Linked DNA regions of Diceros bicornis minor. The protein of the gene in region 2 purifies or fractionates together with the protein of the main gene of each other region. This does not show direct contact. Links are inferred from orthologs where the notes say so. Each region holds a gene or a part of one and is shown on either strand. Other genes may lie near its edges.

Region 1 (7,302 bases), on a different chromosome or scaffold from region 2:
TCCACTTCTTGTTTTTGCAGATGGGACTAAGCCTGGTTGGAAGCTGAACTTCCCACAAGCCCCAACAAAGGACAGCCACATGGATGATGAATCCCACCCAGGTCTCTCCCTCTGTCTTCCCCAACCCGGAGAAGGTGGTGTGGATGGGGAGGGCCTCAGCCTGCCCACTCACCGCAGCACCATCCTGGAGCAGGCCAGGCCACAGTCCCAGTGGTAGAGCTGCTGGATGATGGGCACGGGCAGCTGCACAAAATCCCCTGCATGGAAACACAGGGAGGTCACAGACCCTTGGCATAGTGCCCACCACTGCTGCCCCCATTGGAGCCACCGTCTTTGGCTCCTGCCCAGATCTTGCAGGGGTTGTTCAGGGGCCAGCCCACAGCCTTTCAGGCCCCCCGACCCTTTCTCCTTACAATAGCAGTGATCTCCCAAAACACCAGTCGGAACAGCTCAGCCTGACTCAAAATCCTCCAGTGGGTTGGTTCCCATATCTCTTAGGACAATGCCTTCAAGGCTGCTGCCCCAGCGCCCTCTGCTTCCTCACCTCCCCTCATCCTCAACAGGTCACCCTCCAGGCAGACCTTCAGCTGCTGTGATCCCCTATGCCTCTGGGCCTTTGCATACCTACTCCCTCTGCCTGGACTCTCTTGGCATCACAGGCGCCTGAGCTAACTCCTGTCTTCGGACGTCACTTCTCCACGACGCTGCCCGTCATGCTCAGCCCCCCCACTCTGTGCACTCTCAGAGCAGTGGGAGCTCCAGGGAGGCAGAGATAGGGCCAGCACATGAGAGGCACTCAGCAGATATTCATGTCTGAATTCACGAGGCCTCTGGAGGTTTGCCTGACTCCAAAGTCCCCTGGGCCAACAATGTGTGAAGACCATAGTTAGGAGGAAGGGACTGTAAGGTGATCAGTGTATGTGGAAAGCTATCCTCGGCAACCGCTCAGTCTGTCCTTGCCAAGCAGTGAGGCGGAGCAGAATGGGCCAGACCTAGGCATTCTAGCCCTGGCTCTGTCACTGGCTGGCTGTGGGCTGAGTAGCTGACTTCCTCTTGCTGGTCTGGGTCTGGCCATCTCTAAAGTGGGGGACTTTGGTCTGATTCAGCCATTCGATCAACAAATATTTCCCAAGAGCCTGGCACATAACTGGAGATACAGTGGTGAGAGACATAGACAGGGCCCTGTCCCGGTGGACAGCAAAAACAGGCAAGTATAAGAGAAAAACAGGGGACTAGACTAGGGAAAAGGGTGAGGTGTGCCTTAGAGAGGCAATGCTCAAAGTCTCCTCCTCTAAGAGGCTTTTGCTGACTATGCCTTTGCTGTAGGGGGGGCCCTCCTTCACAGCATCCTGTTTGTTTCCTTCACAGTACTTAATAAAAGTAACAACAAAAAAAAACTAAAGCTACTTTGTCTCCCCACTAGACTATAAGCTTCCTGAGGGCAGAGAATTTGCTAATCTTGTTCACTGTTATTTCCAGTGCCTAGTGTCTAATGCTTAGTAGTAACTCAATAAACATTTGTTGGAAGAAATGAACTTATTAAACACCCACTGTGTGCTAGCCTCTGGGGACACTAAAGGTGACCAAGACCCAAGCCCTGTCCTCCAGGGATTCATATTCTAAAATAATTCCCCCCAATGAGCTGAGTGGAAGGAGAGCTCTAAGTAGGGTGCTGTTCCCTCATGGTGGGATACCTCCCTTATCAAGAACCCCTCACTGTGGCCATAAACTGCCCTTTTTGTTTTTCTCTACACAGGCTGTTTACTCCTCAGCCTTTGCTCTTGCATATCCCTTAGTCAGACTGTTATCTCCCATCTCTGAATGTCCAAATGCTCTGGTTTCTTTCCCTCTCTGAGCCCTTCAATATGGAGTATTTGAGGTGGTGTCTGCCTTCCCCACCAGACAGGCCAAGAATTCCTCAGTGACAGGCAGGGACAGGGTTGCATTTGTCTCTTCCCAGCCCTAGGCCCAGTGCAGGCATTCATACATGCTCGGTGATTGGAAGGCGTTTTTCCAAAAAGGCCTTATCCCTTGCGATGTCTACTTGTCACTGCAATGCTCCCCCACCCAGGCTTCCAGACTATGGACCTCTGTTCACAGCTCCCTACTTACTTTGTGGCCTGGGCTCTCACATCAGCTAGCTGGGCCATCTTTGGCCAGGCTTTGACTCTGTCTGTGCCTTCTCCTATGCCTAGCTGTAAATGTGGCATAGGACAGCTCTCTGTAGGGCCCTCAGGAACTCCACTGCCCCTCCTCTTCTTGCCCCAATCCCTAAAACACCTTGATCCTGAGACCCGGCAGGGCTATACATCCCCACCTGACCATCCCAGTCTTGGCAGGGGCAGGTCAGCCCAATGGAACTCAGAGATACTCCTGTGGGGAGTGATAAGGGTAGGTGAGGCCTTCCAAGCCCAAAGCTGCTGCCAGTTGTTGATGCTTGGAGCCAAGGGACTGTCTCACCTGAGAGCTAGCGTCTGCCTGGAAGGCCCTGGCCTGGCTTCAGTTGGCAGGTGTCGCCAAGGAAGGAAGGCAGCTCACTGGCCCTGGATACTTAACCCCTCAGCCTCAGTCTGCTCATCTGCAAAAGCGCAAATAACGATGGTAACCTACTTCATGGGGTCGTTATGGGGATTAACGAGGCACTGCATGTAAACAATTTAGCACAGTGCCTGCCCATAGAAAGCTCCCCACGAATGTGAGCCATTACTCCACGGAGGCTCAGGAAAGGCAAGCGCCTGGTCCAAGATCACAGAGTTGGAGGAGTAGGGATGCAAATCCCAGGACAGCATCAGACCCTACTCCTTGTTGTAATCACAAAAGAGACCACTCCCTAGGTGGGACACCATGGTCCCACTGATGCCTTAGGGTGGGGCTGGGCATGCTCTTGACCTCTCCCATGAGCTGGTACCTCACTTTAAAGTTTACTAGCTTTAGAGTTTACTTTCTCTTTCTCATCAACCCTACACCTCACCCGGAGCAGGAATCACTACTTCCTCCCCCACTTAGAGAAGCAAACTGTGGCCCACGCACTGGATGTCAGTCTTGGTTTCCGCCCTAAAGGAACTCAGACCACCTTGGGGCAGAAGGAACCAGAGGATGAGGACTGTAGCAAGACTAAAGGCTAAGCCGGGGAGGCCAGGGGAAGGGGACCTCCCACTGCTGTGTTCTCGGCCAGCTCCCCGCCCTTCTAGGCGTCAGTTCTCCCACAGTTCCCCTAGGGGACAGGATCTACCTGCGGCTCCAGCAGGACTTTTCGCTTCGGGGAAGGTGGCGCCCCTGCCTCACAATCAGGACCCTCCCATCACGACCGCTATCAGAACTACTGGGGTCCCAACCCTGGGAGTAACAGGAAACACCAACTGATGGCAGCTGGGGAGAGTGGGGGCCCAGGCGGGAGTGTACACCTGGCCAGGTTTCACTCAAAGCTCTACAGCCTGAGGCGGCGGTCAGCCCAAGGTCGCGCAGCCAGACCCTGCCCCGAGCTAGGGCGGGGTCCCCTCGTTCCCCGGGGTGAGGGGTGGGCCCTCGGGGAAGCACTGACCGGACTCGAGCGGCGCCCCCGCTGCCTCCGCCTCCGTCCTCATGACCCGGGCGGCGCGGGGCGCCCATGGCCCCGGCCCGGCGCCGGCTGCAGCTTCGCCTTTGGCTGGGGCGCGAGCGGGGCCGGCGCGTGTCGTGCTCCTCTGCCGCCACTGCCACCGCGGTGGGGAGAAGGGGAGGCGGCAGCTGTGCCGCCCCAAGCCCCGCCCCGGCCCTTCCAGGCCTGGGATCCGGGGGCCCGCCCCTTCATTAAGCCCCTCCCCTCCCCTCCCCTCTCCCCGAGTCCTGTTCTTAGAGGCCCCCAAGCCTCCTGCTCTAAGCCCGCCCCCGCCTTTCGCTGTCTCGGCTTCTGGTGGCCCCGCCCCTTTCCCAGCCCTCGCGCAGACGCGCAGGCCCTTCTCCGCCTCCGTTCCCCGGAAGCCCCGCCCCTTTCCTGAGCCCCGCCCCTAACCCCAGCGTTCCAGGAACATTGGCTCCCCAGAGGCTCTTCCCTTAGCAAGCTCCGTGTCTGCCCAGCCCCAGCCTCAGGTCTAAGGTCTGGTCCTGCCCCATACACCGCGGGCCTCGGGAGACCACGACCCTGGGCCTGCCCCCGCTCTACTCTATACCTGTTTCCCTATCCGTACGGTGAGATAGGTCGCCTCAATCAGGACGCCCCTTACCTAGAGGTGCCGGGTTCCAAAGATTAAATTGTGAGGGGAGGTCTTGGACCCTCGGCCCCACTGCCTGCCGACCCCGATCCCCGCCTTGCGGTGCAGTCCGTCCCTGGTCTGGGGTGCTAGGAAGCGCGAGTCGTCCTCTCCCCTTGCCGCCCCGGGGGTCGGTGTTTCCGGCAGTACCTGGGCCCGGTCATCAGCCGTCCATTCCGGGGCCGGAACTATCATACTAGAGCGCACGTTTCCTAGCCGGCGGAGTGAGGAGGAAGGAGAGACGAGACCGCGGTCACCGCTAGGAAAAGGAAAGGGGCGGGTCCTGCGCGAGGCATTTTGGGAACGCGTGGTATTCTGGGAGCGCGGGCCCCGCCATTAGTTCCCCACACGCTTACGCGTTCGCCAGAGTCCCTGCCGCCCTAGAAAGGAAGAGGAGGCCGGAGCCGGTGAGGAGAGGCCGGGGGCGGGCGAGGGTAGGCCGAGGCACCCGTGAGGGCCCGGGGGCTGGGGAAGGAGGCGCTGCCGACGAGCTCTGCAGGGCTCGAGGAGGGAGAAGAGCGGAGAAGGCTGGGCCACCCGAGCATCAGCGGTGCCTCCCTAGCGCCTGGAAGTGAGTTCATTAGCTTTTCCCCAGAGTACATGTTCTTCGCCTTCTATACCTCTCCAAGTCAGTGTTTTTCGAAGCATCCAGGCAGTAGTCTTGAAATCATTCCTGGCTGGTTGCCTCCTTCCCCAAATCCTACCTGGGTAATCTTTTTCAAAGTTCTTTGCATCTCTGCCTCCATCCCCCTTTCAGCCGCTGGTCCTCTCCTGCTTTCCACGCTGTTACAGAAGTTCTGTCAAGTTTCCCTGCTTCTAAACCGTGTTCGATCCATTTTGTTGTAAGTGCTGCTGCCTTTTCATTTGATCATTCCTTACCTATAATCCTGCAGTGATTCCCCGCTGCCTTCAAGTATAAAATCTAGACTCCTAAAGCTCCTCACCAAGGGAACTTGTCTTTCCCAACCTCGTGTTCCCTTTCCTGTCTTGACCACACATAATATGTTCCAACCTTCAGTCGTTGCTCACCTTGGAATAAAAAGTCCACTGCTTGTCTCTTCTGTGACATCAAGTCAGTCACTTACCCTGATTATATTTTTCCTACCTGGATTTCCTGCACATTGTCGCTTTGTGAGCACTTTGTATTTTCTTTTTAGCCTTGATGGTGAAGTAAGTGGAGGGTCATGGGCACTTAATGGGTTGAATTGAATGCACAGCCTCTTCTACCAGATTTGCCTGGATCCTTTGGTCTGTATCTGAATTGCCTGATACTGTACACATGTGCCCAATACTAGTACCCACATGTAGCCACTGAGCGCTTGAAGTGTGGCTAGTGTGACTGAGGGACTGAATATTTTAATTTTATTTCATTTTGATTGAGTTTAAATAGCTACATGTGGACTGTGGCTACTGTATTGGACAGCTCAGGTCTATGTCATGAGTTCTCAAAGTGGTGTTAACCACAACTATGGGTTGACAGATACCTTGTATGCACGTTCATTCCAACCCCCTTTCCCCCAACACACAGTATGGTTAATGGTTATTTGATGAAGATAAAGGGACATATGGTAGCAGGGAGGGAGATGGAAAGTACTTTCTTTTCATTCCCAGGCCCCCTCTTTCCCCCTACCCCACATCTTGCATGTGTTTGCCAGATAGGGTCCTCAAGCTAGGAGTTAAGCTCTATTTTTTTTTTTTTTTTTGGTGAGGAACATTGGCCCTGAGCTCATATCTGTTGCCAATCTTCCTCTTTTTGCTGAGGAAGATTGGCCCTGAGCTAACATCTCTGCCACTCTTTTTCTATTTTGTATGTGGGACGCTGCCACAGCATGGCTTGATGAGTGCTGCATAGGTCCGCACCTGGGATCCGAACCTGTGAACCCCGGGCCGCCTAAGCAGAGCATGCAAAGTTAACCACTAGGCTACTGGGCTGGCCCCTTAAGCTCCTTTTTTCTATAGAAAGTGCAGCTTTGGCATTTTTACTAAGTTTTATGGAGTGTCAGGCCTTGAGGGAGGCATGGTGTGTGCTACATGCCTTCTCAGGCTCTGAAAGATGGACTAACTGTTGTCTGTTTCACCGTAGAACTCTCTTCCTGCCAAGATGTCTATTGGCGTGCCCATTAAAGTCCTACACGAGGCTGAGGGTCACATTGTGACATGTGAGACAAATACCGGTGAGGTGTATCGTGGGAAGCTCATTGAAGCGGAGGACAACATGAACTGCCAGGTATCTTGCTTTGCACATGAGGCTGGGGGGAAGCTTGGGCCTCTGTCTTGGACAGAAAGATGGTGATTGGAGGTCTTTTTGAAGTTGTTCTCATTCCTCGGTTATTTATTGAGTGCCTGATGTGTGTTAGGAACTGTTATAGTGGCTGGGCATTTGGGCATAAATAAGAGCCATTGGGAATATTTAACTTTGTGCTTTGTTTTCTCCATCCCATAATCATTTTCTTCCATATTTTGGAGACCTGTTTAGGAAACATAGCTCTACTACCTTCAGTAGAATCCGTCAGGATCGGGGCCATTATCCATTTGCCCCTACACATTTGCGTAATGCTTGGTGCTAAGCAGAATCTTACACTCACGTGCTATGTTTGCCATTTTTCTTGGAGGAGGCATCTTGTTTGATTATAGCAACTACCTTGTGAGGTAAGCAGAATTGGTGATAGGTTTGTCATCCGTATAGTAGGGAGAATAAGATTAATAGACTCATCTACTGAATGTCAATCTGCTAATAAATGTTGGGGCAGCTTCCTGATACAATGCCCTTCCCGTGGCACGATTTTGTTTGCCTTTTGCTAATAATCACGTGAGTTTGTATAACATTGCTTTACAAAGTGTATCAGCACACTTTCTCTCTTGTTCTTTAAACCATCACATGTGGGTTTAAATCCTAATTGTCTAATCTTAGGCATGTTAATCACCTCAGTTACCTTATCCGTAAAATGGGAATGGTGTTATTTTGAGTTGTCTGAGATGTAGATGCCAAGACAAAATTAGTTGTGCAAGAGACTTATTGGAGGAACTGACAATAAAGGAGAAGGAGTAGGGGTAGGCAGGAGAGTTTTCAGTC
Region 2 (7,421 bases):
CCTCCCAGGGGCAGACCCACCAGTGCTGAGCAGGCCTGGCCGCTGCCTGGAGCCCTGGTTTCCGTGGGCGGGCCCCACTTCCCTGCTTGACTGGGGTAACACCCTGCCCAGAGCAATAGTCGAAGCCGAAAACGGTGCTTGTGACGGGCTCTCGGAGCTGGCCCGTTCTCCTGTAACTGGCCACCCTGGTCCCTTCCCTGGGGGTTGGTGCTCTTGGTGCACGAAGGTGCTGTCCCTCACCCCCGTGAACCCCTTGAACCCCGTGCCCCAGCCCCCAGGACAGGGCAGCGTTCGCCTGGCCGCTCCGAGAGGGTCCCTTCAGCTGCCCTCTCCATGTCAGGAGCACAGGGCTCCTTAAAAAGCTGCAGAGCTGGCAGGAGAGGAGCCGCAGCACAGCCCTGGCCTAGAACCAAGCGACCCTGCACACACACTGCGTCACTCGTGCGGGCTCCTACCGACGTGCCATATCTCTCCCCCCAACACCCGCGTCTGCGCACACGTGAGGCCGGGCACTGACGCCCACTGCTGGGGATCCATCAGCCGTGAGCACTCGGGAGTCTCCTCTCTGTGCCCACCCTCCAGTCTGAGCCCCTAGGCCCTTCTGAGACCAGCCTCCTCGCAGCAAGGCCCCCGGCACACGACTCGGGCAGCGGGCTCTGGTCTCTGGGCGGCACTGGATGGAGCCCTGGTCCTGCTGTGATGGCGGGCACCTTCAGGGAAGCTAGCGGGCTGCAAGGTCGCTTTGCTCAGGAAACCCTAACAACTAGGACCACCCACCGTCAGGGGGGTCAGCCTTTCCTCCCTGCTGTGACTCGTGACTTATTTAAGACCCCCACCCCTTTATTTATCCACCGGCTGCAGTAGGAGACGGTGTTCGTCCCGCTGCGTCATTCTCATTACACGGTCCATCCACACCGGCTCATTTCTCATGTCTCGACCTTGATTTGTAACTCACATGGGCTTTGCTTTGTTTTCCTGGTAGACTGTTTGGGTTGGGGGTGCTGGCACGGCCTGTCCCTCTCTGGGCTGGTGGCCTGACCCCCTTTTCCTAAGGGAACTCCCTGCACCCTGCATTTCCACCTTGAGACGCTGTAATAAAATATTTGTTTTCACTCGAACCTGGTCTGGTGGCAGCGTTTCTTCCTAATCAAGACGTGACAAGGTCTTGGAGAACCCAGAGGGCCCCGGGCTGTCCTCGCTGTCCCCAGTGGGGAGGACAGTCACTCCAGCAGAAGCTCCTCGTGCTCCTGAAGACAGCCGCTGTGACCATGGCAGACAGATGGCGAGCCCCCACCTCAGGGAGGCCCAGCCCCACCTCAAGGGCTTACACCTCACAGGATCAGGCCCACCCAGAACGGCCTCCCTTTTGATTAACTAAAACCAACTGATGAGAGACTTGAACAACATAGGCCAAACCCTTCCTGAGGGTCCTCCTGCACCCAGGGGAGGCCTGGAAAGCAGGGGTGGGTCGCGGGTCACCTTATAATTCCATCACACACTCCCTCCGTTCTTCCTCAGGGCCCCCCGACTTCCCCAGCTCTGGTTCCAGGCCTCCCTTGGTTCGAGGAGCCTGGCCCCAGCCTCCCAACCACTTAACCCTCAAGCCTGGACAGGACCTCTGTCCCCACGAGCCTCACTTCCCTCGGGAGCTGGCTCCGACCACCCGGGACCACGAGCCTGTGGACACGTCCCTCTGCAATCACCGCACCACCGCCCCATGTGAAAAGAGGTACCTTTATTCAAACAGAACGAGCACGCCAGCTCGAGGCGTCCGGCCAGGGTCTGCCCCGTCAGCAGGTGGAGAATTCACAGTGGCCCAGGAGGCACGGGCCCCCTGCCCTTCACAGCATCGTCTAGCTTTGTACATTCAGCCTGCACAGGGCAGGAGAGCTGTGCCAGCCCCAGGCGCCCGCCAGGCCCTGGATGGACGTGCCCGAGGGGCCAGGCGCAGCTCCTGGGAGTGGACGCTCGTCCCCGGCAGCAGCATGTGGCACCGAGAGGTACTGGGCCAGTCCAGTGGGTCCCGAGGCATGGGGAGGGGGACTTGCTGCCCACCCCCACCAGCCTCGAGATTTTGAAGTCTTTAAGCCTAAACGCCTCCCGCCGCAAATCCAGGTGTGGCCAGGAAACCCAGGGCCCAGCGAGGTGAGGAGGGCGTGCCCCAGCCTCAGCAGGAAAGCCAAAGAGCCTGAGCCCGGACTCATGCCTGCAGGCCGCTCAGCTGGAACCTGGCCTCCTCGGATATGCCGAACTGCTCCAGGGGGTCCTGTGTGGGCGGGTGGGTGGGGCAGTGTGAGCCCAGGGCCCAGGAGGCCCACAACCCCAGCCCCTCCACCTCCCCCACACCCCGTGCCCCTCGCGCACCTTGCCGGTCATTTTCTGGATCTCGTTCCTGTAGAAGATGAGGCTCCTCCGCATGAACTCGTAGCTGGGGAAGAAAGCAGCGTGCGCTCACAGGGCCCTGCTCTGCCCCTGCCCGGGGCCCCCACGCCAGCCCGCAGCCCACCTGGCTCGGCGCAGGGCCGCTATCCACTCCTGACACTGCTCCTCGCTGCCGCACTCAAAGTGGTACTTCCGCTCAGGGTCCCCGATGAAGCCTGCAGAGGGAGCGGCCCCCCAGACAGCCACAGGCCTTAGCTTCCTGTTGCTGCTGTCCACAGCTGTAGCCTCTCCAGCCCCAGCCTGCACTCACCACTTCCCGCCAGCTGCAGGTTGAATTGCATGCCCCCAAAGGACATATCCTAGCTCCTGGGACCTACGAATGCCGCTGTATTTGGATAGGTGGTGGTCGCAAGTATAATTAGCTAAGACGAGGCCACACTGGAGTGCGGTGGATTCTAATCCAACAGGACTGGTGTCCTTATAAAAACTGGACATTCAGACATAAACAGGGGAAAAGGCCACAAAAGATGGAGGCAGAGACGAGGTGATGCTCCTACTAGCCAAGGGATGCCAAAACTGCCAGCGACCCCCAGAAACTAAGACAACATGGGACAGATTTCTCCCTTGTAAGAATCCTGCCTGCCGACAACCCGATCTCGGACTTCCGCTCTCCAAAACCGAAAAAGTGAATTTCTGCTGTTTAAGCCCCCCAACCTGTGGCACTTCGTTAAGGCAGCCCCCGGAAACTAGCAGAGGCTCCATCTTCCCCTGCATACTCCACACCCTCTCCAGAGAGCCCAGAAGTAATCCTCCGGGGCCCCCAGCAGAGGACCGGGCACCCCGAGAGGGCACTGGTCCCCAACAAGAGGTGGCGTTCGGGGTGGCAGCTCGGAAGTGGCTGGGACAGGTGTGCCCAGCCTGGGACCCCAGGGGAGGAGCGCAGGGGAGGCGCCCGGCGGGCCCGGCGGACTTTGTTTCTGGGGCGCGGCCGGGCGGAGCTGGGTCTCGGCGGGCCTCGTCCCCGCCCCCCCGCACTCAGTGATGGACACTCACTGATGGAGAAGCCGCTGGGCTCTTCCTGGGCGACTCTGCAGTGCTCCAGCAGCAGGGCTCCGACGGGCTGGGGGCAGACGCGGCGATGGGGGCAGACTGCGGGGAGCCCGACCCGGATCCCTCCCCTCCCCTCCCCAGCTCCCCCCCCCGCCGCCCTACCTCGGCCTCATCCGTCCGGAAGTAGAAAAGGAAATTGACCACCAGCTTCACCAGCCGCCGCTTCACCACTGCGGGCACAGGGCGGGCTCGCGCGGACTCGGCGGGCTCAGCGGCCGGCCTCCCCGCCCCGGCCCGCCCGGCCCGCCCGCCCCGGCGCCCCGGCCCGCTCACCGCTGCCCTTCTTGGGGCCCCGCATGCCCAGCTCGGCCGCCAGCTCGGCCGGCTGCCGGGACAGCGCCTGCAGCTCCTTCTCGTTGAAGCGCATGGCGCCGCTGGGACCCAGGACGCGGAGCCCAGGCTGCGCCCTCTCGGCCGCCGTCCCCGCTCGCGCCAGAAAAGTCCCACGGCGCCGTCCCGGAAGCGCTCCCGGAGCTACTGCGTCTGCGCGCCCCCGGGCCGCTTATCCTGTCAATCATCGGTGCGTGGCCCTGACGTCACCCGGCCCACCGCGGCCGAGCGAAGCCGTCGTGGGCCGCACGGGATAGTGGGTGAGACGCACCGTCGTTATATATAACCATGAAGTAAGCTAGGCCCGCGTGGCAACAGAATAAAGCACCCCCACGACTGCTGGCACCCTTTACTGAAGCGGACAGGAGAAGGCAGATGTTGGGCGAGTCGCAGCCCTTCCTCCCGCGAGAACTGGCCTCGCGGGAATTAGAGGCGACCCAGAGGGCGTCGAGAGCCTGGTGCGCACGCGCACTTCGGGAACCGGCCCGCACTCTCAGCCCCGCCCTTTTCCCCTCGCGCCTCCAGAGCGTCCCGCCCACGTCGCCGGCGGATCGGGCATGCGCACACGGGAGGCCCTGCTCCGTTTGCCCCCGGAAGTGCTTCCTTAGCCCTTGGCGCGCGTGCGCAGGACGAAGTCGTGGCGGCCCCCGCGGCGGCTGAAAAGACAACGGTATCTCGTTGTCGGGTGCGGGTAAGGAGCGGCGCGGGGCGAGGGCGGCGGCCCCGGGGCCCGGGGTTCCCTGGAGGGGAGCGGACGTGGGCGAGGCGGGCCTGCGGCGGGGGGGCGCGGGTTGAGGGCCGAGCGGCCGCGGCGGCCCGTGCCCGGGGATGTGGGGCCTCAGCGTCCCGGGCGCCCCCTGCCCGTCGGAGCTCTCCCTCCAGAGGCCCGTGGGCCCTGGGAGCTCCAGTTCCCGTAACTGTGGGATCGGGGGCGCGGCGGTCCCCGCTCCAGGCCAGCTGAGGAATAAGCGAGGTTTGGGGGCAGAGTGCCCAGCCCCGCGTCGGGGGCGACCGGAGACCGTGAGCCCGCCCCGTTTGGCGAGCGAAGCCCGAGCTTAAATGACTCGGATGCCCGCTTCCTCCTTCTTCCCTTTGGCCGCGCAGAACCCCCGAGAGGAGCCGCCGAAAGTGTTCTGTTGGGCAGGTTTACGGGGATAGTAGCGTGCTCATCAAGAACTGTCATTCATCCCTGTTCCCTGGTCCCTCCCCAGAGGCCACGCCTTTAGAATTCTGGATGCTTGGCCTTAATCTTTGTAAAAAACTTAATTTTTTCTGAGTGTGTCGGTTTTAGACGTGACCTGCTGACTTTCTACCGTGATTGATGAGATTATTTCTGCCTCCCACCCACTCGCTCCAACGTCGCCTTCCATCCCTTGAACGTGTTTATAGAGCCTGAGCTTTAGCGAAATCATTAGTCCTGTATTTTAAAACCGAAAATATTAAGATGTTCATCTGTGTCATTTTCCTTGTTCTGTTTTTCCCCAAAAACTCATTAATTTTTTAATAATTTTTCTTTCAAAACTCCAACACCGCGCACACGTATTTTTGCGCAGTTGTGAAGAGCATGTCTTGGTAGCTTTTAAGAAATCCGTTGACTGATTTGAGTTCTTGGTTATCTGAAAATGGCTTTATGTATTCTCAGAGTTAGAAGTTCGGGTATAAAATTCTAGATTGAAAATCCGTGTGGAGAATTGTGGAAAGCGTTGCCTGCCTTACTGAGAGGTCTGGTCCCATTCGGGCTTCTGAACTTTTATTTCTAGCTTTGTTTCTGTGTCGTAGAAACTTAAGGGTTTTCCTTGCTGTTGTGAAGTTTCCTGATCTGTTTATTGAGGATCTGTTTATTTGTTGACCTGGGTGGGTCTGTTTCCTTGGAAGAATTAGGTCCTTTCAGTCCTGGGTTTTTTCGTTTCTTTGAACACATTCTCATGTTCTCTGTGTGATAACACTCTCCATGCTTCTTTCTGTTCTTCTTCTGGAATTTCATCTAGGTTCTTGTTCTGTCTCCTGTTTTTTCATTATTTGGTTCTCCCTTAGGAAATATTTTTTTAATTCTTATCTCTGAGCCCCGTGTTCCATTTTTTGGGGGGATCATCCGGTCTTTACTGTCCAAGGATTCATTCTGGTTTTGCTTCGCCTTGCTAACCTTTGGCATCCTGTTCTAGGGTCACGGTGCAGTAGATAACTTCCCGGACAGTTCAGGAGAACGTTAACGTTTCCTATTGAGATTTCATCAGGTTTCTGCTTTCTTGGCGACACAGCGATCCTTCGTGTCTGTATTGTCAAGTTGCCCGCTCTGCGGGTAGAGCCCAGTTTCTCACCTAGGGAGTCTCCCTGCTCCGTGGGCCCGGTGGGGAGCTGGTGTTTTCTTTGGGGCGTGGGGGACCCTAGCTGTCAGTGTCTGAGAATGCTTTCTCTGGCACTCTTTCCCCAGAAGAGACTCCTGCTGTCCCCTGGGCTGGGGGCTCCGGGCTGGGCCTCCCGCTGTCTGGACCTGGTGTGGGGGAGCTGCTGTTCCGTGGGCGGGTTTTGATGGAATCCCCTCTTTTCAGCCTGGCGCTCCCCCAGCTCTCTTGTCCCACTGTGTCCACATCTCTAAGCCAGGAGGCCCTTCATTCCAATTCTTCTAAGAATAAAACTGCCCTGCCCAGGGAGTCGAGGGTGCCTGGGTCTGTGACCTTTCTCTCATGGCAGAGACTCTCATTTCAGTTGCGGGGGGGGGGGGGGCGGGGGGGGGTAGCGTGTGTTCAGGGAGCTGTGAGTAACCAGCACTTTCAGTTTCCGATGGTTACTGGTTTTCACTCTCATTTGGTGAGCGGTTACGGATTTGTTTGGGTTTCCTGAGCCCATCAGCTTCTCTCAGCAGGTGCTTTCTGCGACCCCTGGCCCCCATGCGCATTTCCCGGCCAGCCTCCGGGACTGAGGAGCCCAGTCTGGCCGCTTAGGAAGGAGTTGGGCTCATCCTCAAACGGATCGGAGCTGTTGGCTTGGTTAACCTTGTTGCCTTCCAACTCACTTTTCCAGCTCCTCCCAGCCATTGTTCCAGGAGAATGTTCTGAAGGTGTCACTAACGCATGACAGGAACAGGACATCAGCAGACAGGTGGCTCTCTGTCCCGGCCCCCGCAGTGGTGCCGCGGGTCCCTCTGAGCTCCTGCCCTCGTTCCGAGAACACTCGTTGTCGTTGGTTGGTTGGTGTGATGACAGCCGTCCTGACTGTGTAGGGTGGTGTCTCACTGCAGTTTTCACTCGTGTTGCCCTGATGGTTCGTGACGTTGGGCACCTTTCCTGTACCTGCCAGCTGGCTGCTGAGTTAGTCAGAGCACACTCCCAGCCTCAGAGGCCCCCGTCCTCAGTGTTTGGGGAAGCGCCGTCCTCTCCCGGCCCTGGGAATCTGCAGGGGAGGCCTGCAAGTCACTCACCGGAGGGAGCCGGCTCCGGGCCCCCGGATTCACGCTCTGGGTAGAGGCTAGAGGGCAGGTAGTGCCTCTCGGCTCTCACATGCACTCCCCCTGTGCCAGCTTCCCGTCCCGAGGCCAGCAGGGAGGGTGGGGTTTTGCCCCTCGGGGGTGGGCAGTGCTCAGCCCGTGAGCTGCTGGACAG
Region 3 (7,691 bases), on a different chromosome or scaffold from region 2:
TGTTATATTTAAGTCCTGGGACCGGTCCTCAGTTTTCTCTGTCTTCCCACTGCAGGAGATGAGAACCTCTTCACACGCTCCCCAGAAGGTCTTCTGGTTTTCACACTTAGCTTTGAATTGCAGATTAATCACTCTCAGCCTTTCATTACCTCCCTCCAAAGTATCAATTCTACATAGCAATAGCCGTCAAATTCCAATGTGCTTATAGTTACTCTTTCCCCCATAATTTGAGAACAACGCATGCTCTTTCGCTGCACACCACATGCTCTTTCCCACAGCTGAAACTTTTAACAACTGCCCTGCTTTCTTGTGGTAGCTATATTCTACCTGCCACCACTGATTCCTTGTGGGCCAGCAACCAGTGGCCAACCCCCAAATCCAGTCATAGTGTCTGCTTTCTTGGACCATTCCTGGCACCAAATCTTTTAGGTTGAGTTCCATGAAAAGTACACATGAGGAAAAGATTAGGATTCACGAAGTTTATTAAGGAGTCCACAACGATCAACACCAGTGGAAGGGAAGAGATGAAGGCAGGATCAGACAGAGGGAAAAACTGTGCTGTGATGCTATTGTATAATAAATGATTTGACTGGCTTTTGTCCTCGGTTCCTGAGAGGTAACTTTTAAACCCCTGTAATTTCCCAAGTGATAGGAGTGTCTTTGTTATTTATGGTGGGTCTTTGGACCACATCTGAGTTTATGCTACTGAAACGATTCAGGATGAGGGCTGGTCATGTGAGAAAGATCAACCATGTGATTAAAGGGTTGAAGCTTTGAGCCTTGTGATATCAGCCTGACTTCCTGACCTCCAGCGAGGGGAAGGGGGCTGGTGATTGAGTTCAATCATAGGGCCAATGATTCAATCAATTATAGCTAGGTAATGAAACCCCAATAAAAACTCTGGATACTGAAGCTCAGTGGAACTTCCTGGTTTCTGAACATGTTGAAGTGCCAGGAGGGTGACATATCCTAATTCCACAGGAAGAAGATACAGAAGCTCTGTGTTCAGGACCCTCCCAGATCTCACCCTATGTGTCTTTTCATTTGGCTGGTCCTGATTTGTATCCATAATAATAAAACTGTAATCACAAGTATAGCACTTTCCTGAGTTCTGTGAGTCATTCTAGCAAATCAGTGAACCTGAGGGACTTGTGGGAATTTGTAGCCAGTTGGTGAGAAGGGTAGGTGGCCTGGGGACTCCTGAACTTGTGGATGGCATCTGGAGTGAGGGCAGTCTTGTTGGGGACTGTGCTCCCAACTTGTGGGGTCTGAGCTACCTCTGGGTGGTTAGTGACCAAACTGCATTGCAGTATAGAAGATACCATTATAACAATGGCCTGAGATGATCCCACAGAGAGCTCTGATGCTCTGAAGCTCACAGTTGTCCCAAGCTGGGGAGAGGGGCTAGGCGCTTATACCTCCACAATATATTCAGACTGCCCTTGGGCAGCTCTCTTTAGCCAATGAAGTTTTTGAAGGGAGCTGACAGCTGAAGGTTGTCTGCAGGTAGCACTCCCAGGAAGTGAGGGATGTTTTTCATTCTTGAAGCAGGATTTCCATGCCAAGTCACAGTGCCGACCGCACTTTGTAACTATTTCTATCTATTAAATGGTAGAGTGAGGATAGGGTGATTAAAAGCAGTAGTGGAGATTCTTTTGAATTTGTAAGCATTTTGCAGCTGAAGAGAATTCAGAGTGAGATTGGTGGGATGATCCTGGCAAATTCTCATGAGTGATCATATCGTTGTCCTACTTAAACCCTTTTGATGTCTTCTTATTGCTCTTGGGAAGGATAAACTCTTAATATCCTTAGCAGGACTCCTCAGGCTCTGCATGATACGGCCCCTTCTTGCATCTGCAAGATCATGTCATCTTCATCTCATTGCACTCATGTTGTTCTGTCTATGGATTGCACCTGACTTTTTAAAGTCTCAGGGCCTTTGCACAGGCTGTGCCCTCTGCCTGGAATGCTTTCCTTCCTCTTCACCTGACGAATTTGTACTCATTTTTTAGGTCTTTGTTTAAATGTCCCTTTCTCAGAGAGGTCTTCCCTAACCCTCACTCTGGATCAGGGCCACCTGTTATATGCTCTCATAGCACCTGTCCCCTTTAGATGGCCTTTTTAGCACTTATCTGAGCTGTAACAATGTAGTTATGTGTTTCATTGTTTCATGCCTGTCTCTGTCCCTCTGATAAGTGCCATGAAGGCAGGAACTGTGGCTATTTTGTTCTTTCCTCTCTCCCCAGCTCTTAACTCAATGCCTGACATGGGGATTTAATAAATATTTGGTGAGTGAATAAGCAAATGAAGTAATTAAAGGATAGATAGTAGTGATACAGGGTAGTGGTTAATAGTGTGGCTCTGGAGTCTTACTGGATTCAAATCCTTTAAATCTTGACTTGTCCATCGAAAGCTGTGTAAATGAGTCCTCCCCTTGGACAACGTAGAAACTTCAGTTTATCAGTTCACACTGAGTTCGTCAGATTGAGGGAACTTATCCTCAAAAACCTCGGAGAATAATGTGGAATAAGAATACCTATTCATCATCAGCGGCACAGCGTAGCACTTAAGCACACAAACTATCTGAGATGAATCCTAGAACTGTCATCTTTGCCACAATACTTGGCATTTTTGTACAGCAGTTTCCTCACCTGTAAACGAGTGTCAAAGTTGTTGTAAGGATCAAATAGGTTAAAATATATAAGAAACAGTGTCTGGTACCCAGTAAGTGCTTTCTATGTGTTTGCCATAATCATTATTGTTTATTAATTTAGGTTGGGAGACACCTCTGGCTTGACACCTAGAGCTGGTTAGCTGCATAAGACATTTTCTCTATTTGAATAAATTCATGCCACAGACCAAATAACAGATCAGAGGGTTGTCTAATAGACAAAAAGTAAGAGTAAAGGAAATATTCTCTGGTAACATTTCCAGGAAGCTGTAGGGGACCTTGATGGATGGTTCTTCTCTGCTATAGGGACAATTCTGCCTGAAAATCCAGAGTAAGTCATCTAGACCTCAGGGAGTGTGAACATCCTGGCAGATTCTGGCCCTTGGTTCCCCTTGTTGTAGATTCCAGAAAGGGCACTATCCTTTGGTAAATATGGCCTTTCTTCAGTCATTCAGGTTACACCAAAATTGATTAGGTTACACTTTTCTTTAGATATACCCTAAGCCCAAGGAGGAAGTCTTATTACTCTGATTTCAGTTCCTCCTTTACCAAGTCTCCCTGCTGATGCCTCTTAGGGTGGGGGCACTTCTGCAGGTAGAATTCTAAACTTTTCCCTCATTATTTTGCCAAAATTTTAGAGTACTTTATAGAAACCCTCAAACTGGGAATCTGGAGACCTGGGACTGGCATAGAGTGAAATCTGGATTTTAGTTCTGACTTTGACACTAACTTGCTGCATGAACGTGGGCATGACCTAGGGGCTCAGGTTTTCTTGTATGTAAAATGTTGCAGAAAATCAGCTGGAAATTCTTTTCCAGGTTTACAATTCAGCGATTATGCATCATGATCTCTGACTAAAGTCAGTATACATACTGTTAATGTACATTTAGGGTAGAAAGTAGCAGTGAATATTTTACGTGAAAATATTCACTTTTCTTCGCACTGACTTTGGAATGTGGATTTGCTTCAAAAATAAAAACCCTCTTTATCAGTTGCAATATTAAAGTTGTATTTAACCTTAGCGATTGCAGTTCTGAGGACTTGATAAGAACCTGAATATGGTCTTCCAGGGTAGCCAAACAGCCATTTCATGAACTACACAGATGACCCAGCTTGGGCTGGTCCACAGATCTTTTTCTTGTGCATTTCTTCTGGGAATGATTGCAACTGAGCAAGCAAATAGGTTCCGGTTGGAGAGATCCACAAAAATCATGTCATCTTACCCCATCACTTTGCTATGGCTTTAAGGACAGCCCTAATGGCTGTGTGACTTCTTAATCTCCCTCAGGCTTAGTGTCCACATCTATAAAATAACACCTACCTTGCAGGGTTCCTGTAACAATGAGGACAGAGCTCGGGTTAACACTGTGAAAGCCCATAATAGGCACACAGAAAAAAAAAAGCTTATTATGCCCTTACTGTCAATTTTCTTTATTCCAATAAAAATTACACCAATGTTGACTGCATGTTGCCCGTGGTGGGTAAAATAAGGCCAAAATGGATTATGGCAAGTCTTGAGATTTTTCTCACCTTAGTTTCTTAACTGCAATTGAGAGCATCTGGTCAGTGGCTGCAAGTTCTAGATCTGGAGTTATAAAATAGTTGGGTTCCAATCCTGGCACTCTGTCCCTTATCAGTTGTGTGATCTTGATTAGTTTCTAAACCTCTCCGGGTCTCAGAGTCCCCTAAAGCCAGGGTAATACAGACAGATAGGACTACACTTCCCCGCCTCTCAATTTCCTAAAACAGAGGTGCGCGAAGGCTCACGCCACCGAGCAGCTCCTCAGACGGCGGAAAGCACCCGAAGGAGGGCGGGCCAAAGAAGCCACAGGCGAGGCGGGAGTTCCCGCCTCCTATGCGTGCGCGCGCTACGCGCGCACGCAGAGCACGCTCCGGAAGCGCGCGCGCGCAGGCCCAGCCCTCGTCGCCGCCGCCATTTTAGCTCCTGGTTCCGGCCGCACGGTGTAAGCTGTTGTAGCGGGAGGGGTGGGGGGGGTCCTCCGGAGTTAAGTAGCTGCCCTCGACTGCGCCCATCCAGCCGCCAGCTTCTCTTTTTGTCTTTCTTCTCGACCGTCCGCTCGAAGAGTCCGAAGATGTCCAAGCGGCACCGGTTGGACCTGGGGGAGGATTACCCCTCCGGCAAGAAGCGTGCGGGGACCGATGGGTAAGCCAGGCCGGGGGCGCGAGGCAGCGGCTCGGGCTTTGTTGGGGTCCCGGCAGGGAGCGGGCCAGGACCGGCCGGGCCGAGCGGGCCCCGGAGCCCGACCCTTTGTTCCCTCTGGGCTCGGCTCAAGGCGGCGGGTCGGGGACAGCGGCGCCACTCCCGACGTTCGCCCGGCAAGGGCGCGGGATGTGTGGCGCGGCCGCCGCCCGGCCCAGTCGGGAGCGGGTGAGGCCTGCTGTGGCCACGAGGACGCCTCCTCCCCGGGCCGAACCAAGCGGCAGTCGCTTCGAGGGGAGCGGGCGGGAGGGAACCGCGGACCGCGTGGCCTGGCTTCCCGGGTAAGGCTTGGGGCCGGCGAGCAGGGTGGGGGAGGGCGCGGCGGGAGTATTCACTTCCAAGGACACCAGGTGCTCCTCAGGCAGAGGGGCCGGGGAGAGGGCCTCGACGGGCGGCTGGGGGGCCAGCAAGGGAAAGACGGGGGCGGAAAGTGAGAGAAGCGCTTGGATTCTCGTGAAGGCTGGGATGGGGGTGGCGGGAGTTGAGTGAGGCGTGCAGACCAGGAGTTCTCGGGGGAAGGGAGAGTCGAGGGCCTGCCGGGAGAAAGGAAAACGTGGAGTATACCTGATGGGCTGGAAGGCTGCTGGTTTGGAGCCTCTGAGTTTATAGTTTGGCGGGAGACCGCGTGCCTCGGTCCATTCAAACACTTCAAAGAAGATACTAGGCAAACTTCCGCTCTCTGCCTATGCTCCCGCCATCTCCTTTATTTCCTGCTTTGGCTAAAACAGTGGTTTCGGAGGATCTCTGGGATAAGCGTTAGAAGGCATTCATTTTTTCCAATAAGTTCTTGTTTTCTAACCCCCCACCCCCACCCACGTTCATAACCATCTTTTGAAACCCGATGCTTTTCTAAAATGTTTCTGGTATTTATGGAAAAATAGCGCCCTTGGGGAGGTTGTGAGTTGAAATACTCAGACTCGTAGTGTTTCAGATTCCTTTCCTTGAGCGTTTCCTTAAACGTACAGGGGAATTTAACAATTGACTTGAGCAGTTGCATCAGAATCTTGTCTTCTCCGGTATATGTGTTCATTCCTGAAATAACAGAGATTTATTTGGATAACTCAGGCAAAAATAGAAAAGTCTGAACATCCAAATACTTAGCATAATTTTATCATTTTATTGTGTGTGTACGTGTACAGAATCACTGTGTTAGGTCGTCTGTGTAACTTTTATATGAGTTTTTGTTCACCCAAAGTCCTTCATTTGGGTTGATTTCCAGGTATTTGTTTAATGTCGAGAGTATAAGCTGAGATAGAGTGTACTTTTTGATACCTTCCTATGTGTTGAATATGGAGAGCAACAGTATGTAACATTTTAGCCTTGTAAGGTTTTTAGTTTTCAATGTTAGACATTAGTTTTCTCTCTCTTAGGCTGTCTCCTCTCCCACTCCAATACTTTAGCTCATTTGAGCTACACTCACAGACTCATTAGAGCTGGAAATGACTTAGAAATGGAGACTCAGAGTTGTTAAGGTGGCTTGTGCAAATTTACGTGGTTTACAGCTGGATCTAGAACCTTGATCTTTTCATATTCACTCTTAGCCTCTTGCTTTTTCCATTACAGCACACAGTCTATGACTGTAGTTAAGAGTCATTACAGCCGATTTTAATGACATTTAGAATGGGTTGTTAAAGTAGGGAACACTTGGTTCTTGGTTTCTGTGAAGCAAAAATAAATTGCTTGTCTGCTGGCTAAGATGCAACTGATAGCTCTCACAACAGTTAAGATTGGAACAAAACATGCTGGGAAGGAATGAATTCACTAACTCATAAATGTGTGTATGTGCACCACTTAAACGCTTTTTTGGGATTGGTGGTCCCATATGTATGTGGGCTTGCTCGCTTTCTCTTGCAAAACAGATATCCTAAGTAAAAATGTGGACTTTTTAGACCTTATGATTCTCTTGGATATTATGTGGCATCTACCTGTAGGTGAAGGAGAGTTCATCTTTGGAATAAAGTCCGAGTTCTGAGGTTCTGGAGGGAAGTTTGTATACTCAGTTCTATGTCACTTGAATGTCATTTCTCATAGAACTAATTTTCTTTAGCACTGGGCTTACAATGTTTATTAGTGTTCAGGTCTTTTTTTCTTTAATATTTGATAATTTAAGAAGTCGCTTTCGCTGACTGCCATGCAATCTTGCAAGTTTTGTTTTTGTTTGTTTTTTAAGTCCTGGTAGTTAGCAGGTGGTTTTTACTGAGAGGGTAGGCTTGTTGGTCTTGTGAACTCCACTGCCAAACACTGCTGTCCCATTTCCCCAATACTGAGAGGGGAAGGTAATTCCTTGGGAGATTTCACTCATATTCAAGCTCCCAAACTATATATGGCTTTATTTATTCCTGATATATTTTAATTTTGGGGTCAGGTAGAGAAGTTAAAGGTTTCTGTTATATAGTGACCTTATTCCTTTTTCTATCATCCCACAAAATTTTCCATATAAAATTATTACCAAAAGACAACTTACTAGTGAAGTATGGAAAAAACTTTGAAAATATACTGTGCTCCTGAAACTATTCTAGGTGCCTTATGTGTATAAGCACATTTTCACTACATTCTTGTGATGTAGGTAGGTGATGTTAAGTAACTTGACCCAGGGAACGCAAGAAATGTCCATACGCAAAGATATAAAGGAAAAGGCAAAAAATTTCTTGAAGTCTTTGTGCTTATGCTTAGTCCCTTGAGGAACATTTTTTTAGATCTCTGCATTTTATTCACAAATGTGAACTATCATAATATCAATGGGTTATTTCAATATGTGTTGTTTTGTGCTTTGATTTTTATTCACTCAGAAATATGTTA
Region 4 (7,338 bases), on a different chromosome or scaffold from region 2:
CAACATCAGACAGCTCACCTCAAATGGGTTCAAATTGAAGTAGGAGGAACCAGGACGGGTCAATCTTTCAATCTGATTTTTGGACGTTAGAACTGAATCTCTCTTCTCTATTTGTTTCACCTAAAATAAAGGGGATAAAAACTTCATTAGTAAAGCTCAATAGTAAACTCTGAATTGTCATCCTAACAAGTTACTCACTGGCACATTCAGCAAACATTTATGTGTCTAAATGTTCAAGATATTTTACTAAACACTTTAAGGAATAATTACAACCGCTACCATTTACTGAATTTTAATAATGTAAAAACTTTACACATATTTATTCCTCTCAACAATCCTACCTGTAGAGACTACTATTATCCCCATTTTGCAGATAAGAAACTGAGACTTAAACAGGTTAACAGACTTGTTCCCAACTACCCAACTTGTAAACCAGAATTTTAACCCCAACAGTTTGACTCCAGAGCAGGCATCAAGAAGATTCAAAGATAAATAAGTCACAGCCACCACCTTGGGAGCTTCCACTGTAACGACGGAAGATATACTTGTGTGTGTTCATACTTAATTTACAACTTTTTATTTTAAGAAAGGAAAAATATAATTACACTGAAATATATACTAAAAGCAGCATTAAAAATGTATATGAGGGGCCGGCCCGGTGGCGCAAGGGGTTAAGTGCACGCACTCTGCTGCGGTGGCTGGGGATTCGCTGGTTCGGATCCCGGGTTCACACCGACACACTGCCTGGCAAGCCATGCTGTGGCGGCATCCCATATAAAGTGGAGGAAGATGGGCACGGATGTTAGCCCAGGGCTGGTCTTCCTCAGCAAAAAAAAAAAAAAAAAAGAGGAGGATTGGCAGATGTTAGCACAGGGCTGATCTCCTCACCAAAAAAAAAAAAAAAAAAATGTATATGAGAGGGAGCAAATAACTCTGCCTACCTAACTCTAATGGAGTTATTAGAAAAATCCCTGACTTGAAGACAGTGCTAAGAACAGGCACCAGGCAGTCCTGGGAAAACATCCTTGGTGCCACTGCCAGAATAAGAATGCTAACTGGAATGAATCTCTGGTGTGTTATATAACATTTTTATTTCTATGGCCAAAACAAGATTAGAAAGAATTTCAGTAACATAAAAAGACACTGTCTCTCAATATCTTCCCTCTTCACTCATTTTAAAATAGCATGCCACTCCCTCCTACTCTCTACCTTCTTTCCCAGGCTTATTTTTCCTCAAAGCACCTATCACTACCTGACACTATATTGTACATCTGTTTACCGATTATCCTTCTCCATAGAACACAAGCTCCACGAAAACAGGATTTTTCTCTCTGTCCTTCACTACCGAATCTCCAGCACCTAAGCAGTAGCCTAGTACATGTCAGGCGCTCAATAAACACTGGTTGAATGATGACTGAAGGGTCCTCCTTTAGGTTCTTTCCCCCGTCCAATTCAAACAAACCAGGATTGCTTTTTTTTTTTTTTTAACTAAGAGAGAGTAAGTGAAACAAGTTTCACTATAATTAGTAAGTAGTCATTAGAGGCCAATAAATTATGGTACCAGCGCACCAACATTTTCAAAGGAATCAGGCATTTCAAAAGGACAGGCTATAACGAATGTGCTACTTTCTGTTTTTAAAGTTAATACTTTGGAGAAACTACTATGTAACAAGCACTGTTACAAATACCAGACATAAAAGATGAATGTGACATGCTGCTTAACTCTGAGCAGTCCACAGCCTGGTGGGGAGCAACTCCACTCCTCAAATCCACGCCAACATTACGAGGTTCGTCTTCAGCCTTGCTTTAACTCTTAGAAAGATGCTCCTGTTTTATTATATTTTATGAAACCCTTCCATACACATTAATTGCTTTAACCTTCATAAAAACTCTTGTTTTGGGCCGGCCTGGTGGCTTAGCGGTTAAGCGCTCGCGCTCTGCTGCTGGCGGTCCGGGTTCCAATCCCGGGCGCACACCGACATACCACTTCTCTGGCCATGCTGAGGCCACGTCCCACGTGCAGCAACTAGAAGGATGTGCAGCTATGACATACAACTATCTACTGGGGCTTTGGGGGAAAAATAAATAAATAAAATTATAAAAAAAAAAAACTCTTGTTTTAATATTAACTCTCGTTTTACAGACGTGGAAACTGAGGAGCTGCAAAATCAATGCCTTGAAAGAGTTCGATTGCAGACAAATTAACTGCCTTGCATAAATCCAATCAGAGGTCCTCTGACTCCAAACGGCATGCTCTTCACTTATTCATGCATTCATTTACTCAACATACATTTACTGAGCGACCACTATGTACTAGGCGCTGGAGATGCGATATAAAAGAGGCTCAGACCAACCCTACTCCTGTCCTAACATGATACCAAGCTATCTGCTCTAAGACCTGGAACAAATTATTTCACCTCCCTAAACCTCAGGTTTGTCATCTGTAAAATGGAGATAATGCCTACCTGGCATGATGCACAGTGCCTGGCGTTCGCGAATGGCAGAAATAACCACTAATACAACTCATTACAGAGAACTAAGTGTAGAAAGCGCTGCTGTTTAGAATAAAATGGGGGCCAAGACGGTTAAGTCGCCCCCAGGAAGGCCCAGCCCCTGCCAGCCCCGGACTCCGCGGACTTGGGGAACTCTGCGCGCGCCCAGGCACTTCGTTGGCTACACTCGCCGTCTCCTCGCAGACGTCGGACCCCCCTCCCCCGACCTTTTCCGTTGCCCAGGGGATCCCCCAGCAGCTAGCAGGGAGAGATGTACACACGCCCCCAGCCCCCCGCCGCCCCGAAGGCCGAACAGGAGGAGCCGCCCAACGGTCCAAGCCAGGAGGACCACTGCCTTCACCCGCTGGCAGAGCAGGCCCGAGCGGGGTCGCCCGGGTGCCACTCTTCCTCACTCGGCGTTCACCTCACTGTAGAAGGTCATAAATGCTTCTTCTGTGCTGCCTCCGCCGGCCGAAGCCCCACTCTCTCCTGGAGCCGCCATTTCCCCGGCCCAGCCACCACGTGACTCTTCTGCGCAGGCGCTGCCTCACGTGATTCTTACAGGCCCTCTCTAGCCCCGCCCTCTTCTTTGCGACCCTTAAAGGGCTGGAAGCCTAAGGGGGCACTTTTAATCTACGTTCGTAAATTGTTTTTTTTAATTGAGGTGAAATACACATAACACACAATTAACCACTTTAAAGTGAACAATTTAGTGGCCTTTAGTATAGTCACAGTGTTATGCAATCACCACCTCTATCTAGATCCAAAACAATTTCATCACCTGGGAAGGATACCTGGCACCTATTAAGCAGTCCCTTCCCATTCCCCCTTCTTCCTAGCCCCTGACAACCACCAATCTGTGTTCTGTCTCTGGATTTACCTATTCTGGACATTTCATATAAATGCAGTCATACAATATATGACCTTTTGTATCTGGCTTCTTTTACTTAGCATAATCTTCAAGGTTTGTCCAAGGTATAGCATGTATCATTACTTCATTACTTTTTATGGCTGAATAATATTCCACTGTATGTATATACCACAGTTCATTTATTCATTCATCAGTTGATGGACATTTGGGTTGTTTCCATCTTTTGGCTATTATGAAATAATGTTGCTGTGAACATGCATGTACATGCATTTGTTTGAATACCAGTTTTCAATTTTGGGGGATATATACCTAGAAGGAAAATTGCTGAGTCACATGGTAATTCCATATTTAACTTTTTGAGCAACTGCCAAGATGTTTTCCACAGCAGCTGAACCATTTTACATTCCTACAAGCAACGTGTGAGGGTTGCAATTGCTCCACATCCTCACCAACACTTATTTTCCATTTTTTAAAATTGTAGCCATCCTAGTGCCTAAATGGATCTTTTGCACAAACAGAAAGACCCTCTACTTGATGCCTAGCCTAGGAGATAATTAAGAAACAGCTGTATCTGAGAACTAGAAACAGAGTTTCTGAAACAGGAATGGCACTTAAATATCATCTGGAGGGGCCAGCCTGGTGGCGCAGCAGTTAAGTTCACGTGTTCTGCTTGCACAGCCCGGGGTTCGCCAGTTCAGATCCTGGGCGTGGATCTATGCACCATTCAGCAAGCCATGCTGAGGCAGCGTCCCACATAGAAGAACTAGAAGGACCTACAACTAGGATATACAACTATGTACTGGGGCTTTGGGGAGAAAAAAGAGGAAGATTGGCAACAGATGTTAGCTCAGGGCCAATCTTCCTAAAATATATCTCTCTCTCTCTAGAAACACACCAAATCATTATCACTAGGTAGTGGGCTTGTAAGTGATGATTATTTCTATTCTTCTGCTTTTGTGTTTTTCCAAGTTTTCTGCAGTGAACATTTGAAAATGTGCCCTGCAGCCATTTCCTCCCATTTAAGTCATACAAACTAGGACTGGTATTTTTTCCAACCAAAAGATGATCAACAAAAACAGTTCTACAGTTTCATAGAAGGCAAAGAAAGTATTTTTATAATCATGAATAAGATAGATAATCTGGCCCAATCCTCTCATCTAAAAGAGAAAAAAACTGGGTCCAGAGAGAGAAAATGAGGTAGGCAAAGGCTATAAACTACTGTCTTGTTCACATTTGTTAGAGGGCTGAAGGAACATCAAGGCAAAGCCTTCCCTAGACTTCTACTTATGCTCTTTTCTACTTCATTGCACCAGATTGCCAAAATTACAGTTAACGTATTAATGCATTTCACAAATATTAATTCAGTGCCTATTTGATCAAGGCCCTGATAACTTCAGAAGGTGAAAAGTGCAAAAAGAGAGAAACAGAACAAAACAGGGAACTATGATAGAATGACTAAGGAGGTCAGGGAAGGTTTCTCTGAGAAGGTGACACTTAAGCTGAGACTTGAGAGTGAAATGTCAATGCAACGAAAGAACATTGACACCTCTTAAGAGACCATATACATACACATAAAAAATTTTTTTCCCAACAACCCGAAGTCGGGGCATCCGGGACTTATCCCCGCCACGCCCATTACCCATCTTATTGACGCTAGTAGTCCAGGAAAAGGAAGACTTCCTTTGGGTTGTTTAATAATAACAATTTTAGGATTGGAATCGTGGGGTGGCAGTGGATGCCACGCCTCACTCTGAGGAATCCAAGAGCCGAAATGCCGGCTTCTGACCTTCTCCTCCCCTTCCTCTCCAATCTCCTCCATTATTCTCCAGTCCTTTAGGCTTTGAGCCCTTGCTAGGAATTGGCTAAGAATAGGCCCGCCTCTCGCTCACGATTCGCTGAGAACTACAGGAACCCCGCCTCCTCCCTCTCATGATTCGCTACTCCTAGGTTCATCCCGCCTCTCCACCGAAACGATTGGCTGCCCGGCCATCAGCGCTGTTAGCGCCTATAGAGAGGCTGCGCCTCCAGTGACCCGAGAGCTGCGGCACTGACAGCAATGGCAGTCACGGCTCTGGCGGCGCAGATGCGGCTCGGCGTGTGGGGCGCGAGGGCCATGCAAGCCCGAGGCTTCAGCTCCGAACGGGTACGCCGGCGGCAGTGTCCGCTGCCCCAGCCCTGAGCGCGGATCCCATCTCCCCCTCCGCGCTTTACCAATGTCCCGGTCTTTCTCCGCAGTCAAAGGATCACGACGCCCCCGCGGGCTCGATCCGGGAGGGCGGAGGGGCCTTCGGAAAGAGAGAGCAGGCTGAAGAGGAACGATACTTCCGGTGAGGCCCACGGGGTCCCGAGTCCAGCCCTAGATCTCTCAGGGCCTTCCAGTCGCCCCACCCATCCCTCCCTGGTGCCCTGGGGTGCCCTATCCCCCAACAGAACTCCCGGGCCCCCGAACCCATTACGCCCAACACTTGAGGTCCTGACTGTTGCCACCTATAGGGCGCTCCCAGCCCTGCCAAATGTCCCAAGGCCCCCAAACGCCAGCCATTTCCACCTGCGGGTGTCCAGAACTCGCAAACCACGGCTCCACTCTTCCTGAATCATTTACCATCCCCACCCGTGGAATGCTCCCCAGGTCGTGCGAAACGCCCCTCAGATACTTCGCAGAGTGCCCGGATCCGACCGTCCAATACTTGCAGACCCTCTGAGCCTGACTCCCTCGGCCCTCACCCACCTTTCACCCCTCTACGCACTCTTTTCTCCTCTACACGCCTTAGTTTTGCAAGCCCCGCAGGGATGGATTCCCTGACTCTTCAGACCCTCTCACCTGTTTCTAGACCCCCACGTGTCTCCGCCAGAGTGAGTGGGTCATATGAGCTGGTTGGTGGCAGCTGCTCACGGTTGGAATCCACACATACACACACTTCCTGGAGACTTTTGCCCTGCCCCGCCCAGCCCAGCCGCTGGGCTATATAGATTTCTCTCTCTCCTTTAGAATCTGGGCCTGTCTACCCTCTTTTTCAGCCCTGAGTTATCTTTTACTGACTTCTGTTCACGGTGGGGAGCAGCACGGGACTAATCTCGCTTCTGCTTCTCCTTTGCCCTATCTGTTCACTTCTGCCCTCTCTTGCTCACTCTTAAGAATCATCACCATGGCACCTGCCATACCAGAGAGCCAAGGTACAGCCCTTAGAGACCATCTAATTGGGCCCTACATTATACAGTTAAGGAAAACTGAGGCCCAAATGTGGCCAAACCAATGTTTGAATCGTCCCCTCTTGAGACTTAAATTGGACTGCCAAGTACTGACCATGCAGAGACCCCTTCTTTTTTTTCCTTCATTTTGGCCTTTACAGTGAGCCATGCATTTCTCTAGGCAAAGAAAGCCCTAGATAAATTGGGAGAGGATGTGACTATTTGTCTTTAACTATACCCGTTTGTCGACCTCCTTCCTTTTGCTCTTTTTTTCCACAAAAAGGGATTCTCTTCTCTGGGTTGTTCCTCTAATAAGGTATTGGAAATTTGTCACACCTCTCTGGAGTTTTCTACTCTAGCTCATTAATGATGGAATTTCAGGTACTAGAACCAGGAAAATGAAATCATTTGGGTCATCTAAAGATGGATACATCTTAAGATGGTGTATTCTTTCAGTAGTGGGGCTTAAGGAGGTAGAAGAGGATGACCAGCCAGACTCGCATGGGATTGGGACTCCTGTGTCCTTTGCCTTAGGTATTATGGGTTATGCATAGAGATCTCTTTGGGGTGAAGGATTGGGATTAAACCCAGAATGACTGTGTCCTTGTAGAAAGCGGACTAAAGAACAACTGGCAGCCTTGAAGAAACACCATGAAGATGAGATCTCTCATCATGTAAAGGAGATTGAGCATCTGCAGAAAGAAATTGAGCGGCACAAGCAGAGGATCAAGACACTAAAAGATCATGATGATGATTAAGTGCACACAGTTCCCCATGGAATGGCTA

Evidence for each region.
Region 1: the proteins of SF3A2 (region 2) and SNRPD3 purify together in Homo sapiens (affinity purification with mass spectrometry; 4 studies listed by BioGRID and IntAct, with this or other methods). This does not show direct contact. The link is inferred for Diceros bicornis minor from reciprocal best matches to the Homo sapiens genes SF3A2 and SNRPD3.
Region 3: the proteins of SF3A2 (region 2) and DHX15 purify together in Homo sapiens (affinity purification with mass spectrometry; 4 studies listed by BioGRID and IntAct, with this or other methods). This does not show direct contact. The link is inferred for Diceros bicornis minor from reciprocal best matches to the Homo sapiens genes SF3A2 and DHX15.
Region 4: the proteins of SF3A2 (region 2) and DNAJC8 purify together in Homo sapiens (affinity purification with mass spectrometry; 3 studies listed by BioGRID and IntAct, with this or other methods). This does not show direct contact. The link is inferred for Diceros bicornis minor from reciprocal best matches to the Homo sapiens genes SF3A2 and DNAJC8.

The regions. Positions count from the first base shown.
Region 1 is NC_080774.1:28,860,891-28,868,192, reverse strand, and holds the start of SNRPD3 (small nuclear ribonucleoprotein Sm D3), read left to right. Parts: upstream 1-4,279; 5' UTR 4,280-4,636; intron 4,637-4,706; exon of another isoform or gene 4,707-4,800; intron 4,801-4,986; exon of another isoform or gene 4,987-5,071; intron 5,072-6,312; 5' UTR 6,313-6,330; coding exon 6,331-6,456; intron 6,457-7,302. Other genes in the region: protein GUCD1, read right to left, coding at 173-257, 3,542-3,584. UniProt on the Homo sapiens protein: Plays a role in pre-mRNA splicing as a core component of the spliceosomal U1, U2, U4 and U5 small nuclear ribonucleoproteins (snRNPs), the building blocks of the spliceosome.
Region 2 is NW_026691553.1:1,550,940-1,558,360, forward strand, and holds the start of SF3A2 (splicing factor 3A subunit 2), read left to right. Parts: upstream 1-4,402; 5' UTR 4,403-4,492; intron 4,493-7,421. Other genes in the region: PLEKHJ1 (pleckstrin homology domain-containing family J member 1), read right to left, coding at 2,201-2,266, 2,365-2,428, 2,507-2,597, 3,436-3,502, 3,595-3,662, 3,766-3,859. UniProt on the Homo sapiens protein: Component of the 17S U2 SnRNP complex of the spliceosome, a large ribonucleoprotein complex that removes introns from transcribed pre-mRNAs.
Region 3 is NC_080747.1:19,849,695-19,857,385, reverse strand, and holds the start of DHX15 (ATP-dependent RNA helicase DHX15), read left to right. Parts: upstream 1-4,667; 5' UTR 4,668-4,764; coding exon 4,765-4,835; intron 4,836-7,691.
Region 4 is NC_080752.1:43,651,742-43,659,079, forward strand, and holds the start of DNAJC8 (dnaJ homolog subfamily C member 8), read right to left. Parts: upstream 3,021-7,338; 5' UTR 2,995-3,020; coding exon 2,917-2,994; intron 121-2,916; coding exon 19-120; intron 1-18. Other genes in the region: ATP5IF1 (ATPase inhibitor, mitochondrial), read left to right, coding at 5,420-5,506, 5,599-5,690, 7,163-7,310. UniProt on the Homo sapiens protein: Suppresses polyglutamine (polyQ) aggregation of ATXN3 in neuronal cells.